Linked DNA regions of Coturnix japonica. Each later gene encodes a partner of the first gene's protein in a complex. Links are inferred from orthologs where the notes say so. Each region holds a gene or a part of one and is shown on either strand. Other genes may lie near its edges.

Region 1 (3,822 bases):
CCTACAAAGCACACACAACCAACTTGGTTCTAGGAAAATGGGGAATTAATGATCTTTGTCACATTTCTTCAAGCTTCTACTAAAGGAATATAGGATCATCTTAGTGGAGGCCTCATCTGAGCACCATGATTGCTGGGAGGACATATTTGCACCTACTTACAATGCCTTTATTTTGTGACTGAGATTAACGTTGATTAAAATCTATCATAAAACTTTGTGTCTCAGAGCCATTTCACCTAAGATATACAAGTGACTCTCCCCATAAGAGATCTTGCAAATTAGAGGCTGGCTGTAGTCAACTTACCAATGACAGACATTCGCTTTCTGTCGCTGTTGAAATCCAAGATTGCAAGGACATCGTAAGTTCTTTCAGTCCCCATTTCACTTATTGTGATGGTATTTTGTGTTCGTGAAAGGAAAACATAGCCAAAGTTTCTGGCTGCTGTAACCAAGGCCCCTTCATCTGGGGAGGCTGCCTGGTAGTTGATCTGACCTGCATCATTGACAAGTAGGAAGGAAAGAAAGCCAGGGCACACCTGAGCATTACTTGGATCACAGAGCTGAAAACCTCACACCCATTCTTCAAAGCGAGTGAAAGACAAACACTCAGTGTTGTGCTCCTTCCCCTTCTGAAGTGGCATCTGACACAATGCTGCAGCAGCTGACAGAGCCACCAGAGGAGGGGGACTGCGACTATTCTTTTTACAATGGGTACTTCCCAAACAGGATGAGTCACTGATCCTCTTCCACCCGTGTAGTAAAGCAAGAACAAACTTCTCCATCTCAAAACAAATATAACTTAATTTCTCAGGTATTGTCATTTGAGCACTTCCACAGAAGTGCCAAAAACCAAAGCAAAACATAAGTCCACAGGTAACCACACAGTACAATGGAAACAACCCTCAAAAGGTCAGTAGGAAGACCAGGAATGTATGGGAAACTCATGGTTTCAAAGAGAGATCTCTAAGATTGGAGTAAAGCAATATTACTCTCCTCTTATATTGAGCATCTCATAAATGTTCAACCTTATTTTCTTCATCACACCTCCATTCATATTTAGTTTCTGTCAGTCTTTCTGTTACTCATTTTTGTTACTTGCTGCTGATATTCTTAGAACAAATATACATCATTTGGGTACACATACGGGCCTGCACTTCAAGGAGTATATGAATTAAATCTTCATTTGGAAAATACTCAGCTTTCCACACTGAAAACAAGTTTCCAAATGCCTGCACTTTCACATGCGTATGGGGAACCATAGATTGTGCTAGTGTCATCTCCATTTTATTTAAGGCTCCTATTTTTGAGATTTAAAGAGTACAAAGAAGACTGTTCACAGGAACTACAAGGTGTTTATACAAACTGTTCCAGTACCTTTCTCAATCTGCTGTTATTTAAGGTGCACATCTGCCAAAATTGCAACCATCACTAAAGACAGCTTTCCTTCCACAAAGAGATAGATCTTATCCAGCTCAGGGTCTGGGTCTTGAAGAATAACTGGGTTTTGCTTCTGTTTAACTTAAAAGAACAGTCTATTTCTCCTTGCTTATGAGATCTACACTACTTTTGGATTGTTCTCTTGTGCAACTGGACTTCAATTACTGTTTCCAGAAGCACAAGAGAAAAAGATACTCACCATCAGAAACATCCACCATGACTGTATGGCAAATTGCGAGCAGAAGAAAGAACTCCTGGATTTCTGGATCTTTTTTAGACTTTACTTGCTCTATGAGATAGTGATCATAGAACAAGAACTTTCCATCTGCATACATGTTCCAGCTGAAATCCACTTGCTATTAGAAAAAGAAGAATAAGCGTTACCCCACGTGCAAATTTTTGAGCCTACCTGCCCCTCCCCATACCTTAGCATGGCAGTGCTCCTGCAAACTGCAGGGGCTGTGATGCTGGCTCACACCAACCTACCTCTGGGTGGCTTGGGAGCTGGCCTGCTCCATCGCGGCAGTCTCCTGCAATGCAAAGCACCATCCGTTCCAAGACACAGGACAGGAAAAAAAAAAGGTTGTTACATCTCATTCACAAGGTCAGAAGTATCGAGTAGCTACGTCTATTGTACTAGAATATCTCCAATTAAAGAAAAAAAGTAGGATTCATTCACAACCTCAGTACCTTTTATCCTGGTGGGTGTACCTGCCTATGCCAGTGATACAAAAAAAATTAGAAAAAAGGCATCTGGTGGAATTTTCATAAAAAAACCCACGTAGTTTTAACAGAGCTTTCATTGTCAGAAATCCTTGTTTTTAACCCAGAGGTCAGATGTTTAAGAAGCACACTGTTGTTTGCATTGACAAACAGTGGTTCTGTTAGGGAGAACATCACTGTGTTATTCCAAACACTGAAATCCAGACCAGATTGTATACAGGAGGAACTAACATTAAAATGAACAGCTACTGCCCTTACCACACTTTCTTAGTTGTTCCTTGGATTAATTTTGTGCCAGAGCATTTCTAACAAACGAAATAAGTCTGTAAATTGCTCATTTCTGACTTTTCTACTGGAAGACTGCACTCCACTGTTTTCCCTTCGAAAATATGAAAACAAGGGGAAAACTACAGTTGGAGCTTTACAGGGCTATGCTGTGGAAGTTCATTTGAAACTAGAAGACTACCATGCACCTGACTTCAAACCAGCATTCAAGTTCCTACTCATTCTCACACTTACAGGAGTCCCCAGTGCTACTGCCAGCAGCAAACCCTGCCTTTGGTACTGCAACACTTTGGCACTTGCTATGGAAATCAAAACCTGGTTTTCCCTGTGGGGTTGCAACGTCATGGCACAGACTTACCGTATCTTTGGCCATTTATGCAGCATTTTTTAAATGTCATGATGTTCTGTGTGAGAGTTCCTGTCTTGTCGGAGAAGATGTACTGGATCTGCCCCAGCTCCTCGTTGAGCGTAGTGGTGCGGGCCTGAGCTGGTGTGTCATTCAGTGGGTAATACATTTGCAGATCCCAGTTTATAAAATAACTTTGGCCCAAACGAATCACTTCGACACTAAATGAAATAAACCAGAAGTTGTTACTGCCCGTTGCAACTTATATTCCAAATAATGACATTTTACCAGATCCGGAGGGCTCTGTCTGTACATTCAGGGACTCAGGATTGCCTGTTTAACACAGGAGCTTAAGCCAAAACAGTCCCATTTTTACAGTTCATTACAGATTGCCATTACCCCCAGACAGGGCACTCAAACCAACGCCAGACCACACAGCTCAACTTCAACACTGCAATGACTGCAGAAAAGCCCCAATGGCCTGATCAAGCCAAAAAATATCAATGCTGCTGCTCCTACTGCTAACAGAAATCCCACAGAGGAATAGCGTTTTAAGTACCATTCGGAGAAGTGGAGGTAGGAAGCTGAAGGACTTTAAGTATGTTCTAGATATGCTTGTCGAGGGTAAAATTATTAATGCATTTAAACTCTGATATCAAAGCATCGCATACCTAAATTCTAGTGATTCTGAATTAATACAAATACTAACATGCTATTTGTTAGAAGCAACTAACACGAAATCATTATAGAATTCCCGATTAATAGATAGAATTTGATTTTTATTACTATTATTAAAAAGCACCTCCTTTCTGTTGTATTCATGTTCAATGTGGTACCATAATCTTTTTATTTAGACCTACCTTATGTTATGAAGGATTTAAGCTGTGAAACTGAGGAGCTTTGAGGCTGATGTGAAAGCCACTGTAAACTGAAATTGCTTTGATAGTCTTAAAATCAGTTTTCAACTTTTTGTTAACCCAGTGAAAATTCTGATGCTAATGGGATCACAGATGTTGAATCAGAAATAGGCC
Region 2 (3,822 bases), on another chromosome or scaffold:
AAGATACTTGATCTCCCTGGTGACAGGATGAGGGGAAATGGCCTCAAGTTGCACCAGATAAGTTTAGGCTGGATATCAGGGAAAACTTCTTTAATGAAAGGGCTGTTAAGCGCTGAAATAGGCTCCCCAGGGAGGTGGGTTGAGTCACCATCCCTGGATGTGTTTCAGAACCATTTGGATGTGGTGCTCAGAGTCATGACTTAGCAGAGGGCTGTTAGTTAGGGTAGCATGGTTAGGCTGCGGTTGGACTTGATGATCTTTAAGGTCCTTCCCAACCTGAGTGACTCTATGATTCTACGAAAGTCACCTTGGCAAAACCTTCACCATAAAGTCAACTTCTATAATATAGTAAATTCTTTGTGACTTTCTATATGGTATAGCCACAGACATACCACAAGTCTGAGTGATTGCATGAGACAGGAACATGGTTTTTGCAGACTGTCACATCCCTCCTATGCATCAAAGAAAGCTTTCTCTCTTTCCTAGAACAATGGATTTTGGTTTTTAATTAGAGCTACTTCTTACTTTAGCATAACTAGCTCAGACAACTCCATGCTTCAGGTGGCCATTCTGAAGTCAAGATGACCCAGTCATTTCCCTTTATGAAGCTACGGAACTGAATTTCATGATCTTAACAGAACAAACATAAGTTAGTTCTATAAACTATATGCAGAAGACAGCAATTATAAAGTCTCATTTGATTTAACCTTCCTTAAAAGTCCACCCATGTAACCCAGACAGTGTTCTAAGGAGTTTTTAAGGGCATTTTCAAAGGATACTGTACGTGATATCCAAAGAATATTTTCCAGCCTGTAAGGTAGGCTGTAAGTTACTCTTCCTCTCAATGAGACGATACAGCTTACGAAATGTTGGCAGAGCAGCAGTACGCATCCACACGATAAAGTCTTCATTGATAAAGCCATTGTTGTCAGGCTCAGAGTCCAGCATATACACTGGTTTGGGCCAGTTGACTGGTTTTGTTGTACCTAAGATTAAACAAAAACAACAATAAAGCATTTCAAACACAGGACTAAATGAAGCACTGGATCACCAAAATTCATTCTAGTATCATAAAAAACATGCAGTGAATCCTAAGCAGTACGAAGAGCCAGACTGGCTCATTGCTACTGCAAGATTACTGAACTGCTCAGGAACATTAGAGTATGGCATCTGCCTTTGCAAGGGTAACATCACTTTGGTAAGGTCACTTGGCTGTGACTAAGCAAGCAAGACATATCAGGCTAAACCTAGAGCTATTTTCTATCTTACATATACACACAGACCCAAAAGCCCAGAAGGAAAACTGCTTTTAGACTTTGTCAAAGAAACTCCGACTTACCAGGCTGTACTTAACTACATTTAACCTTATAACTGAGAAAAATCAGTTAATCTGATCACAAATAATCAGATTTTAAAAAGCACTGTAAGATCTACCAGTAGAAACATTAAAAAAGAAAATTTCACACAGTTTGGTTAAATAATCACAGGATTTCTTCTGAAGTTAAAACCACGTATTATAGCACTGCACTTAACGAGGATTTTCTCAGTATTCAAGGCATAAAAAGTTATCAAGAGCTATTATATATATACATATATATATATACACACACACACACACATATATATATATCAGAATTTGATTTGATATTTCAAGATCCCAAACGGCAACAAGTAATTGAAATATCACTTAAGCCAAGAATCTTTTCACCATCTTAACAAATTGGATTAGTTGCTAAGGCAAAACTAATCTGATGCCAAGCAACTGACAGAAAGAGCTTTCATGAAAGTTCAGAAAGATTAAACAGGAAATAAGCCCAGGTTCTATTTTTACATGTTAAATGACTACAGTGAATTTAGAAAAAATTATATTAGTTCTGCATTAAATTTGCAGCATCCACTGTTAACAGACAACTCTTCCAGAAAGCAGAGAAGTCCTTAGCTTGGACTTCTTCATAGAACAATATATTTAACATGTTCACTACAATGTCACCATTGAGGTGAAGTCCATGGCAATCAATGTGTTTGAAATCTTTTGTTCTTAAAATTTCACACATTTCTTACCTTGGAAGAGCGCAGTTAAATTCTTTCCATCTCCTGTAGGATTCCTGAACTTCACATTTTTATCTGTCCACCACGCAATGCCTTTTTTAATCAAAGTAATAGCGGTCCTTGTGTCGTTTTCGATGTGGTACAATTCCAATGTATCTATGGGGAAAATCAAATTGGAAGACCAGATAAGAGTGGCTTTTATTAGATGAATGATCCTGATAGGCAGTAAAATAATTATCTACAGGAAAAACAAATTGCCACAATCAAGAACTGTTCTGTAATAATCCACACACATACAGAGCAGTGCGTTATACATGTATAGCATCTTTATTCCACAGCCATAACAGCCACTCACAACAGATGTTTCAATCCCTTGTGTGCTATCAGGTTAAATTCACTGTGGTGGTTATTAATGGTATTTTAATCTCAACATTCCAAACAATTAAGGTGTGTTAATTCAAAACAAAACAATCCACAATAATACCCAGAATAAAGCATCAGTACAAAGCATACACAACACAAAAACACCTCAGTGCTAAACTCAGAAGTGTTACCGTACCATTAAACATACTGTTGGCAATAGCCCCACAGGGAGCAATGGGTTTATCCTCATTGGTGCGGTAAGGCTCACATTCCTTACTTGGATTCTGACAGTTAGAAAGAAAAAAAGGCAGATCAGTCTGTGCTAGTTTATACTTCAGTACTTCACACACGTACACAGCTCACACTTACTACAAAATATTCTCAGGAGTGAGTTTATTTACATATACTTCAGCATTCATTGCTAATCGATATGATTGATTTTTTTCTTTACAAGCAGGAAAATATTCTAGATAAAATATGAATAAAGTCAAAAATCCCATGATGGTCATTGTAAAATTAAGACTGTGCTTAGAAACTGTTAAAAGAGGGGAAAAAATGTTCTAACTGGAATGTTATTTATTTTTAATAAATAAAAGAATTAAGAATTTAATAAATAAAAGAACGTTTATTATTTTTAATAAAAAATATGAATACCTTATTGTTTGTTGAATACAAAAATTCTACAGCTACGTTATTATTAAACTAGTTATTCTGCCCTGTGATAACTTATGCAAGTCAGCTGTTCATTGCCTACTAGTATCTGTAAATATCAAAGCTCGAATACCTACAAGTAATGAGCTGTTGTCTCCGTTGAGTTGGCTGTCATCTCGAGATTTCACATAGCGACGGTGGTTTTGATAGAAGTTAGAAAGTCCGTAATACATGAAGACGTTACTCTACAAGAAGGGTTTTGATTTACACAACAGGTCAATAAAACACACAAACATGCTGGTTAACTGAAACCTGGAAATCCAACCTCTTAAATTGTATTTACTTTATAGTAACACTCACAGTAGTGATGCTCAAAGACTCTCTTTGTACTGAATACACACAATACTATCCCAACAAAAGCTGGCATCCTGAAGTCAAACAATATCAACATGCCATAAACCAGCAGCAGGATATTCATCAGTACTATCCCAATACTTACCTTGTCCAACACCAAGCACATAAGCCTCATTATTTGCCTCAAAGAATGCATCTAGTGCTGCTGCTTCCTGCTGAACTCAGTTTAAGTTGTGCAGGAATAGCTTATCTACATGTCAAGTATATGACGCCCACCTAGGACACAGACAGTAAATCCAGATGTGTAAAAGACACGTGTCCCACTTAACACTGCAATTCCAGATAGAGAGGCACTAAAAACCATCTCATCTCTGCTAATGAAAAGACACACAGCCATCAAATCCA

The links.
Region 2: the proteins of ATP8B1 (region 1) and TMEM30A are in contact, whole or in part, in a cryo-EM structure (PDB 7VGI), measured with the Homo sapiens proteins. The link is inferred for Coturnix japonica from reciprocal best matches to the Homo sapiens genes ATP8B1 and TMEM30A. Residues at the interface, in NP_001361314.1 of Homo sapiens: Thr138, His359, Trp362, Glu363, Val366, Ser369, Ser370, Trp371, Tyr372, Leu373, Tyr374, Asp375, Gly376, Arg384, Ile388, Phe418, Asn420, Trp421, Asp422, Leu423, Tyr426, Lys430, Asp431, Thr432, Pro433, His939, Trp942, Arg946, Tyr968, Phe971; in NP_060717.1 of Homo sapiens: Lys24, Thr25, Arg26, Arg27, Pro28, Asn30, Phe33, Lys34, Gln35, Gln36, Arg37, Leu38, Pro39, Ala40, Trp41, Gln42, Pro43, Ile44, Leu45, Thr46, Ala47, Val50, Phe54, Ile57, Phe61, Ile64, Ile68, Ile75, Phe119, Tyr121.

The regions. Positions count from the first base shown.
Region 1 is NC_029547.1:290,749-294,570, reverse strand, and holds part of ATP8B1 (phospholipid-transporting ATPase IC), read right to left. Parts: intron 3,013-3,822; coding exon 2,804-3,012; intron 1,968-2,803; coding exon 1,924-1,967; intron 1,794-1,923; coding exon 1,637-1,793; intron 494-1,636; coding exon 305-493; intron 1-304. UniProt on the Homo sapiens protein: Catalytic component of a P4-ATPase flippase complex which catalyzes the hydrolysis of ATP coupled to the transport of phospholipids, in particular phosphatidylcholines (PC), from the outer to the inner leaflet of the plasma membrane.
Region 2 is NC_029518.1:73,686,774-73,690,595, reverse strand, and holds part of TMEM30A (cell cycle control protein 50A), read right to left. Parts: intron 3,309-3,822; coding exon 3,201-3,308; intron 2,697-3,200; coding exon 2,609-2,696; intron 2,206-2,608; coding exon 2,062-2,205; intron 987-2,061; coding exon 780-986; intron 1-779. UniProt on the Homo sapiens protein: Accessory component of a P4-ATPase flippase complex which catalyzes the hydrolysis of ATP coupled to the transport of aminophospholipids from the outer to the inner leaflet of various membranes and ensures the maintenance of asymmetric distribution of phospholipids.